2 linked regions of the Drosophila melanogaster genome follow. The protein of the gene in region 2 purifies or fractionates together with the protein of the main gene of each other region. This does not show direct contact. Each region holds a gene or a part of one and is shown on either strand. Other genes may lie near its edges. The genes, in order: Cul5 and gus.

Evidence for each region.
Region 1: the proteins of gus (region 2) and Cul5 purify together in Drosophila melanogaster (affinity purification with western blotting, with the first as the bait; one study listed by BioGRID). This does not show direct contact.

The regions. Positions count from the first base shown.
Region 1 is NT_033777.3:29,058,615-29,064,719, reverse strand, and holds Cul5 (cullin 5), read left to right. Parts: upstream 1-1,744; 5' UTR 1,745-1,829; coding exon 1,830-1,838; intron 1,839-1,914; coding exon 1,915-3,518; intron 3,519-3,580; coding exon 3,581-3,701; intron 3,702-3,761; coding exon 3,762-4,119; intron 4,120-4,179; coding exon 4,180-4,358; intron 4,359-4,416; coding exon 4,417-4,566; intron 4,567-4,629; coding exon 4,630-4,767; 3' UTR 4,768-5,448; downstream 5,449-6,105. Other genes in the region: Bicra (BRD4 interacting chromatin remodeling complex associated protein), read right to left, coding at 108-138; Sirt7 (sirtuin 7), read right to left, coding at 6,041-6,105.
Region 2 is NT_033778.4:5,125,147-5,130,226, reverse strand, and holds the start of gus (gustavus), read left to right. Parts: upstream 1-1,905; 5' UTR 1,906-2,001; intron 2,002-2,703; exon of another isoform or gene 2,704-2,824; intron 2,825-2,884; exon of another isoform or gene 2,885-2,978; intron 2,979-5,080. UniProt on the Drosophila melanogaster protein: Involved in the localization of vas to the posterior pole of the oocyte. Required maternally in the germ line for efficient primordial germ cell formation.

The sequences.
Region 1 (6,105 bases), on a different chromosome or scaffold from region 2:
AATCGGATGCTGCACGCTCTTGCTCTTGCTCTCAGTAAGCGTGATTACGAATTTGGATTTTCTATTCGTAGTTTTTTTGTGTGTGTTTTTGATTGGCATTTTCTCACCTGGTCGATCCAATGACTGTCTGCGACTCATTGGCAAAAGATTTGTGCTGCTCTTCTGTTGTGTGGTGTTTTTTTCAGGGGGGTTTTATAGACAATAACGTCGGCGAATGCAAATTATGCCAATTTTGATTGATTCATTGGGTAATTTGTTGCTGCTGGTTGTTGGTTCCTTTTGGCTATTGCTTTTGCTTATTTCCTTTTGCCGCGCTGCTTCTTACTCAATTCTATACACTCAACACACACACACGCGGACATCTTTCGAATTTCATTTCACACGCGACTGTTGACTTTCTTTTTGCCCCTCTCTCACTCTAACGCGCTCTTTCTTTTTCTCACTCTCTGAGAACTCGACAGATGTTGTTGTTGTGGGGCCTTTTTTTGATTTGAGGTGTTGCTGCTTCTGCTTCTATTGCAATTTGTGACGTGCTGTTGTGATTTGTTTGTTGCTGGCTTGTGGTTTGAAAAACGCTTTTTCGACAACACACATATGGGGAGCACGCACACACTCACTCGCCAGCAGCCAGCACACACACACAAACACACACGCACGCACACATTCACTCTCGCGCGTCACGTCAATGAACGCAGCAGCACGTAGTTGTTGTTTTCGTCACTGATTCTCGCCTTGTACGCACATTTTGCTGGCTAATCGAAGCACTTGATCGGCAACTGCTCATCAGAGCCTTGTTTATTTACATTGCAGCACGGGGCTAGTGCACTTTCCCCGATTTTATGCGTTTTTCTCTCGATTCGCACGGCCGTACAACGAGCGCCGCCGCCGCAAACAAAGGGAAATGGTGAATGCTAGAGCTGGAAGAGAAGCCGATGGTTAGTCGATACTATCGATGTATACAGATAACTGGCAGCATCGATGTTTGCCCCGCAACCATCGATTGTATTCACTCTAAAAAATATGGTTTTCTACAAGAATTCAATGTTTATAAATAAAACAGTCACTTTAATAAAAGCTTAGAAAACTCTTTGTGATTTATAAAGATTTAAGCGCGTTGTTTACGATAAGTTATAAAAACTAGGGTTGACACCTGTCTGTGAAAGACTTTTTGAATGTAAATAAACATCAAGACGGCAATAACGTAACGAAATTAAATTGATAAATAACTTTATTTTACTAGTTTAACAAATAAGAATATAAAGAAAACCATACAAGTTTCCGCACTAAAAACAAAATATATTATTTTTAGAACACGAAATAGTAAGCGATATTTTGAAATGCGGAACTGAGTATTTCAGGCACATCTGACAGCCCTGAAACAATGCAGACCAGACATTAGGTCGGGGACGTGTGCTAGACCGAGATGTCTGCTAGTACTGCTTTTGTCTCACTCGCGCACGAAGAGGTAGAGAAGAAAAAAACCAAAACGAAGTGGGCAAACTAGCGAACTTCACAAAACCCTCGACAAGACAACTTTGTATTATTGCCCTATTTCTCCTTGGTTATTATTACCGCGGCTGGGCGAGGTATCCCTTAATGTTCGATTAATAACATTTCCGCAGATTTCCCGCACTTTTGCTGCACTCCGAACTGTTGTTTTATCGACTGCCCGAAATCGATTGGTCGATGGGCGATAAGCCCTACGGGCGAAATTTTACCAACACTGGTCGATAGCCAACTATCGTATCGTATCGCCTAATTACAAAAAATAAATATAAATGAAGTGAAGCGGACGCAGCAACAAAAACAAAGAGATTGCTACGATCAAAATGCTACGGGTAAGTGACCTGATCGGCGATGAAAACGCATATAGAGTTCAGTGTGCACATATACCTTTATCTCCCTGTACGACAGGCAATCGGGAAACGGGACAGGGACATCTTCGAGGAAGTTTGGCCGGACAAAAGGCGAATAGTTTTAAAGCTACTGCGCCAGGACACGGTGTCGCAGCGCGAATGGCAGGACCTATTCTTCGGCGTACACTTCGTGTGCCTGTGGGACGAGAAGGGCGCGGCCAAGATCTACGACTGCCTGCAGCAGGACATCGTTGAGTTTATCGTCCAGGCCCAAAGCCAGGTGCAAGCGCAACGGGGCGAGCAGGCCCTTCTGGCCACCTATATTGTGGAGTGGCGGAAGTTCTTTACACAGTCCAACTACCTGCCGCTGCCTTTCCGCCAGCTGGAGCAGTCGCCCCAGGTGAAGCCCTCCTCCAGTGGCAGCAGCTCCTCCGCATCCGTCTCCGCCTCGGGAGCGAGTACGAGTGCCGCCGCGGCGGCAGCAGCTACTTCCTGCAGCGGCCAGGCTGGAAAGTCAGGAGCCTCCACCTCAGCCGCAGCTGGAGCCTCCACTTCAGCCGCCGCTGCTGCAGCCTCCACATCCGCCTCCACAAGCTCAGCAGCGGCAGCTGCAGCTGCTTCCGGAAGTGGGAGCTCCAGCAGCAGCACCTCTACCTCCAAGAAAAACCCCACGGAGGACAGTCCTGTACGAAAACTAATGCTGGACTCCTGGAACAAGCACATATTCCACGACATCAAGCATCGTCTGCAGGAGTCGGCCATGAAGATTGTGCACGCCGAGCGGAACGGCGATGCCTATGATGCCCAGCTAGTGGTAGGCGTGCGCGAGAGCTATGTGAATCTCTCCTCGAATGCAGAGGACAAACTAGAGATCTACAGGGAGAACTTTGAGATGGCGTACCTTAAGGCCACTGTCGAGTTCTATCGCCTGAAATCCGCCGAACAACAGCAAGAGAACGGAGTGCTGGCCTATATGAAATACGCCGACTCAAAGTTGCGTGAGGAGGAGGTTAGGGCCAAGCGGTATCTGGAGCCCAGCAGCTTCAGTATACTTACTTACACGCTGGTTAATGTGCTCATAGTGGACCACCTCAACTCAATCATCGCCGAGTGTCCGGCTTTGATCAGGGACTATGAAACGGAGCGATTGAATCTCATGTTCCGCCTGATGGATAGAGTGATGCACGGCGTTGGCGTGGAGCCCATGATGGGTGACCTGCAGCGTCACATCATGTCCGCCGGACTGGCCGACATGCTGTCCGCTTCGGAGGTGATTACCCAGGATTCGGAAAAGTACGTTGAGCGGCTACTTGAGCTGTTCAACAAGTTCAGCGACCTGGTACGCAACGCCTTCAACGACGATCCCCGCTTCCTCACTGCCCGCGACATTGCTTTTAAGACGGTAGTCAACGACACCAGCGTGTTCAAGATGGAGCTACCCACGAGTATCGCCAATCGGGGTGTAAAGTACACAGCGCCGGAGAGCAAATGCCCGGAACTACTGGCCAACTATTGCGACATGCTGCTGCGGCGAACGCCGCTCAGCAAACGCCTCACCAGCGAACAGATCGACGCCCGTCTGCGCGATGTCCTCTTGGTCCTGAAGTACGTCAACAACAAGGACGTCTTTATGCGCTATCACAAAGTTCATTTGACGAGGCGGTAAGTTGACTGCATAATGTTTCAAATGAAGCGATTACATACTCTTGTTCCTCCAATTACAGCTTGATTCTGGGGACCAGTGCGGACAGCGAAAAGGAGGAGGACATAGTCGAGTGGCTGAGGGAGGTGGGCATGCCGGCGGACTACGTGAATCGGCTGGCGCGCATGTTCCAAGACATAAAGGTAGGTTTTACCAGACTGATGTTAGGAGCAGGTTTATTCATTATCCCCTTTCGTATATAGGTCAGCGAAGACTTAAATACTCAATTCCGCACCTCGATAAGTCGGCACGATGCTATCAACATAAAAATACTCAACGCGGGTGCCTGGGCCCGCTGTTCGGAGCGAGTCTCGGTCTCACTGCCCATCGAGCTCGAGGACTATATTCCTGATGTGGAGGAGTTTTACAAGAAGAAGCATTCCGGCCGTAAGCTGCAGTGGTACCATCACATGAGCAATGGCACTATCACCTTTGTGAATAACTTCGGGCGCTACGATCTGGATGTGACCACTTTCCAGATGGCCGTCTTGTTTGCCTGGAATCAGCGTCAGCATGACAAAATTTCCTACGAGAATCTCCGCCTGGCCACAGAACTACCAGGTTAGGATTGCTTGCAAATTTACTTTTCGCTTTGATGATAATTATTTGTGTATTTTTAAGATCCCGAACTGAGGCGAACGTTGTGGTCGCTGGTAGCGTTCCCTAAGATAAAGAAACAGATCCTGCTCATGGAACCGGCGGCGATCAGTTCGCCCAAGGACTTTGCCGAGAACACAATGTTCTATATTAATCAGGAATTTGCTATTGTCAAGAATGGCAAATCCCAGCGTCGTGGAAAGGTGATTACGCATATTAGCTATCTAATAGATAATCCATAACCAGAGTTCTCACCCGCAGCTGAATCTCATCGGGCGACTGCAATTGAGCACGGAGCGCTCGCAGCAGGAGGACAATCAATCCATTGTGCAACTGCGTATTCTGCGCACACAAGAGGCCATTATCAAAATCATGAAAGTGCGCAAGCGGATGAACAACGCAGCGCTGCAGGTTCGTTGTTCGATAGCTAGTTGTGCGTTTCAAGGGATCTAAAAAAAAAACATTCTTCTACAGGGTGAACTCATCGACATATTGAAGAACATGTTCCTGCCGTCCAAGAAGATGATCAAGGAGCAGCTGGAGTGGCTGATTGAGAACAAGTATATGAGACGGGACGACGATGATATCAACATGTTCATTTACGTGGCCTAAGCAGCTGCTCCTGATCCCGGCTCTAGTCTCAGTCCCGTCTATGCAGTCATTCCCATTTCCATTCCCTCACACGCTACTCAAAAACTATTGCGATTTTAATCTCAACGCCGACGTGCTCAAAGCACGCGCCCTTTTTCTGTCTACGGAATTGGATAATTGTATTATATGGAAACGTGATTCGCTACTGACATTGCGCCCTCAGAGCATTTAAAAGACCCACACTCCAATCGGCAGCCATTTTCTCGTGTCCACGTCCTGTATTTGTGAAACTTTGTATTTTTATATTGGCCCACTGGCTGCTCTGCGTAGCTCTAGATATTATGTTTTGTGCGCTACATGCACCCTGGAAATTCCGAACCCACGCCCACGCCCTGCCCCCGAGTATATCGATCGATAGCGTTAATCTAATCAACCTGCTGTTTTCTATGTGTGTAGTTATCCCTTGTTTGTTTCCGTTGCCTGGTCTTCTGTTGATTCTTGGGTATTTTGCAATGTTCCACGTGAGACTCACACACCTCCTGAAGATTGATGGGGAAGCCAATTCTTCGTCTCCGCTCGCTCCCAGCATGGAATGCCTAATCACACACAAACACTCACACGGGATCGCAAAACTATAACTAAAATAGCAATACTTTATGTTTAAGTTAATGAATAAATTTGGTTCTACACATAATGAAAGCGAATCTATTGCAGTTTTATTTTTAACTGGTTACTGCAACTGAAGGGCGAATAAAAATCGAATGCATTTCATTATACCATAATGCTTATTTTCTTTATTTAACTTACGTGTGTAGAGGGGCGGATGTTAGGTTAGCGTTCTAAAAGTAAAAACCTATATTAATAATTAAAAACAAGGTCAAATGATTTCTGCAGCAAGTGCACCAAAATACCAGGACAAGAGTTACACAATTGTGACATACAATCAAACCCATTAAAATTAAACTAAATATCGAAAATAGACAAAAACGGGCTGACCTATTAATATAATCAAAGACTGACAAATAGAGCATTTTAAAAAACACGTCTAAATAAAAGGAACCCTATTCTATTCTAGCTGCCACTATCATCTATGACTTATAAACCTATAGCTAAAATACTATTGAAGCGAGCATATGTCTCGGTGAGGGCAGGTCGATCTTTTCCGTAGAAAAGAAACAGCTAGCTCCTTCATATCAAGTATAAGATCAAACGTTTCCAAAAAGCCATTGACTCAAGGGTAATCATTTCACCTTCTTATCTTAGGGAGGAATCACGGCCGTACATAAATGGGAATCTACCGTCTCTTCCGACCTTTCTTATAGCCCTTGCCATACCATCCTGCCTGGGTTCGCGCCAACT
Region 2 (5,080 bases):
TTAATGGAAAAGATATCCTAGAAAAAAGCATTGTACCCGTATTTAATTAAATAGAATTTTGAGATAAAAAAGAAAACAAAACATTTTTCTTAAACTTTTTATCGGAGTTGCCTACCTCATTTTATTTCCGGTCCTAAAGCAATTTATTAAAATGCGAAGATTTTCGCTTCTATGAATCTATTAGCGGTGGTCAGGTTTTTCAAGCTCTACATTAATGAATTTAGTGACCAGAAACATTGCAGAACTCACAGGTCGCAGGGCTGAGGCTTGAGGCAAGAAGGACAGACCTACACAAATCAGATGTTCTGCTACTTTGCACCTGGTTGACTGACGCATAGCTTGTTACGGCTGCGTCCTGCAACACTGCTCCAGAAACGATGCCATGTTGGAATTGAATTCTTTAAGACTGGTTCTCCAAATGCTGCTCCCATTTCGCCAGACTTTCCGGATCCAGCTTTTGGATAAGTACTTGGGCGATAATTCATCCAACGATTTGTGTCGTTGAGCCCATTCCATTTAGCGCGCGAATATGAGCGTTGAATTTATCACACAGTTTACAAAGCATTGAAACGGAACCATTCTGAACTGCCCTTGCCCTAGAATCTCAGTAATGTGTGCCTGGAATATTAAACAAACAGACAAATTCAATGCTATAGCATAGTTGCCATCCGATATTTCAAGTGCAGTGTCCCTCAGACATGTTCTTAGATGCTGCAACTTTTCTATGTTTGTTAGTTCAGGATGGCTATCTATTATCGTAGTAAACATAGAATAGAAGTCCAGCCAGATAGCTCGCCCAAGAGGGGGCAGCGACGTCCTATGCCGGAGTGCTACTTAATTGAAGTGTTAAAGCTTTAAACAGCTTTGCGAGCTTGTTGCAAATTATTGTTTATTAGCTGTTTTTGAGCAATGAAAAGACGAGTTTTGTGTAGCGATTTTGAACGATATGTTTAATAATAGCCGACATGTAAAAAAGATTTTGTCAAAACTTATACATGAGAAATGTTGTGTAAATTTTTGAGAAATTAATTGAAAAATGGTAACATTAAGGACAGTTGTTGAAATTAGGTACAATATTACCATTTGTAAGCGTATGTAAAACGAGCGGTAGAATAACAGTATATTATCGTATCATACGTTGAACGAACTGAGAGGCAGTTCAGTCGCGTAAAGTCAAAGCCAAGAATGTAGAAGGAAGCACATTGCCGCGCGGAGTCGCAATAAACAATCGGATGTCATCAAAAAAAGTGCAACCTGCAAAAACAATATATGGCAGTTAAGCATCTAATTATTCTTTATTATTCTTTGAACGAGCCGTATTCGGTAAGGAGAACCCGGTTTTCAATTAATAACGCCGAGTAAAATAAACTGTTTTAGTTATTTTATATTTATATTTTTTTATTTACCCGTTATTCAGCTAATGCCAGCTTTTGGCATAAATATTAATAAAATGAAAAATTGTTTGGCAGTTTAGGCGTAATGCGACAGTAGGTAAAATGTGCCTGTCATACCGTAAAAACAAGCGAGACAGATAATTGTTTTTATGAATTATTACAGTTTTTTGGTTTGGGTAAACCAAAAATTTGCAATTGTAAACTTATCAAGTTACTTTTACGCATGGGGTCAATCAGATACCTTTAATTTAAAAAATTGTAATATGGTGATAAAATGAATAACTTCATTTAAAAAGATTTTAAAATTTGTTTAATTTACATTATGTTGTGCTAAATCTTGAAACGGCTTGACTTAGAAAGTCTTTACCAAACTTCGGTCTTTGAAGTTAAATTAAATTATATAATTTCGAAGAAATTATTAGTCTTTTCCAAAATCCCACTCATTCCGCACATGACAAAAATCGTTACATGTCACAACACTGTTGATGTACGGTATAAGTGGATATACAAACAAATGAATGTTTTGTGCATCAAAGGTTCCTGAGTGATATTTTGCTTTATGTGTTGTTTTATTTTAATCATAGCAAATCGACAAGATAAAAGTAATGTAAGTTTCACAGGAACTGATAAATGAAATTCACACATATCTAACGTGGGAATTGATCAATTAATTATAAATATGGAATGTAAGAACATATGTATGTTCATATTTATAAACGTTAATCAGATAAAAATTTGAGATATGTGATAAAAATAATTATATGTGAAAACTTATCTGTACATATTGAACTTCATGTATTCAATCTCCTTGGATTGAATTTGTATGAGCGTACAAAAACACTATAAGAATATTAATTAGGAGTGAATCTGATATCACCAAAAATACATACATACGTAATTGCATACAATCTTAAAGATTTGTTGGAGAATATATTATAGGGAAGGAAGCGTTTCCCTAATGCATAAAGTATTTAAGCATATGTATATAAATAACTATATTATTGATCAGGATTACTAGACAAGTCGATCTGGCCATGGGCTTGCTTCAGTTATATGATTTTCGAATTTTTTTTTTATGAATAGTTCGTCGGTGCTGTAGCAACTTTTCATTTATTTTCTATTAACTTTAACAGTAAAGTTGAATCAATACGAAATTTTGGTTAGTATAAAAATTACATTTAAACCAAGACTGCATCACTACTTTTCTTTTAAAAGGTAATATGCAGGCTTAACTCAATGAAGGCGGCGCAAGCCGCTTTTACACTAGCATATTGTTAATTCACACAATGTAAAGTTTACTTTAACTTACTTCACTACATCCTTTAGTCATTCAGACTATACGCTATTTGTTATACTCGTTATACCCGTAGAGTAACAGGGTTCCTAGATCCGTTGAAAACTATGTAGCAGGAGGAAGGAAGCGTTTCCGACTATATAAAGTATATACAAACATATGTAAATACATATATTCTTGATCGAGACAATCTGACCATGTCCGTCTGTCCATATCAGCATCAAGATCAGCCAAAATGTTGAGATTCAGCATACAGATTCTAAAAACATAGACGCAGCGCAAGTTTGTGACCCATGTTGCCACGCAAACTCTAACGCCCACACACCACACAAAACTGTCAAGCCCACACTTTTAAAAAATGTGTTGATATTTTTTCACATTTTTTTTAGTCTTGTAAATTTCTATCGATTTACAAAAAAAAAATTTCTAACGCCCTTAAACCGCCAAAAACTGCCACGCCCACATTTTTGAACAAATTTCTGGATATTTTTCAATAATTTAATTAGTCTTGTAAATTTGTATCGATATGCCAAAAAACTTTTTGCCACGCCTAATCTAACGCCCTAAAACTTCCCCAAACTGTCACGCCCACACTTTAAAAAAATGTTTAGATTTTTTTTCATTTTTGTTTGTCTTGCCAATTTTTTATCGGTATACCAAAAACACCGTAACCACGCCTCCCCTTTTACCAACAAAACGGTCACGCCCACACTTTTAAACCATTTTTAAATCCTTTTTATTTTATCTTTATCTATCGATATCCCAAAAAATGTATGCAATTTTACGTTCGACTACAGCATTCTGTTTTGTTTTTCTCTCGATTTTTTGGTGCTGGCTCTAGAGATGGCTCCAGGCTCTCTCGAATGTTTGTTTAAGAGCCAGAGTGCGGAAAGATATACAGCCAGCTGCCCTCTTCGGCTGTCACTGTATGCGTAAGAATAAAGGAGACAATGATTGTTGGGTGCTTATGTTCGCACTTCGTGTCTCAAGAAATCATTTTTGCAATAAACAGTCAACGTATTTTTATATATTGTATATACAGTTTGTCAAGAAACTGTTTACACACTGTGAAATAAGTTGAATTTTTGACCTTAAAGGTAAAAATGTTCAAACGCTATTTTTTTATGAAATATATTTTTGTTTTACTTATAAATCAAAAAACAAATTATAAATATTAAATATAAAGAAAAGAATTTTGAGACTGTCAAGAAACTCTACGTTTTCTTTATGTGTTTAATGTATGTATGTATGTTTTTATTATTATTTAGAAATTTATTTTTTGAAATGTAATTTTTTTTTTAAATATTTCACATTGCAACTTTAAAAATTGATGTCGCAAAAGATGTCGTCAGTCCCGTTTTACATATTATTAATTATAAACACAAATTAAGATATGAAACATTTATATGAAACACTTTAAAAATCTAATAGTCAAGGCATACATGTTTAAATATTATTTGAGTAGATCATTTTGCAACGAAATTGCCCGAAACTCTAAATATGTTATATCGGATCTTAGATCAAAATTGATTTCTGCCCGAAAATCGTCTTCTAGCACAAGTACGCACACATACAAACATTCTCCAAAGACGCTAGTTATTCTAGTGTCTTTGCTTTCTCGTTTATTCTTTTAGCACACACAAGCAAGTGTATTATTTTTTTCGATTTTATACCGCTCTCAATTTTACTCAAGCGGAGAGAGAGCAATTTTGACCGTCAACAAAAAAGTGGCTGCATAGTGCAAAACCAATGAATGGCCGTTACGCATCTTGTAATTCTATTGTCTTTGCTTTAACTCGGTCTGTGAAATCAAAACAATAAGGAATTCAATAAGACAACTAGCTGTACAAGCTTTAGGAATGATACGAATAAAAGTGGTTGGCACGCTTTAAATAGCTTTTATGTCGAAATTTTTTTTTTTCGATTTTCCTTTTACTTGAAATCGATCGATACGCTAACTAAGTTTTGAAATATCTTCTTGCCTCGCATCTAAATATCGGATTCCTGGTTGTCTTGATAATCTGTGATTGTTCTGATTATTATATGATTAATATAATACTATATATATATATATATATATATATATACAGTATTGCTAGTATGTTTTCACATTAGTAAAAAAATATATCTTCATAATGTACTACCATAAGTAATAAATATTCAAATTTGCTTATATTCGATTCTTAAGTTTGAAAGCATTGGAAAAACAGTTTATATAAAACACGAAAAGAGACAGAAAAGAATCGCGTGGCGTTTTTGTTTCGCATGCTATATTAAGTCGTAAAGATCGATAAAGTTTTCTTGTGTATTATAAATTTTGTGGCTGTTTTCAAATTATGGTTTGTATTTTGCAAGTAAGTAACAATATATTAATTAAATCAATACATATTTC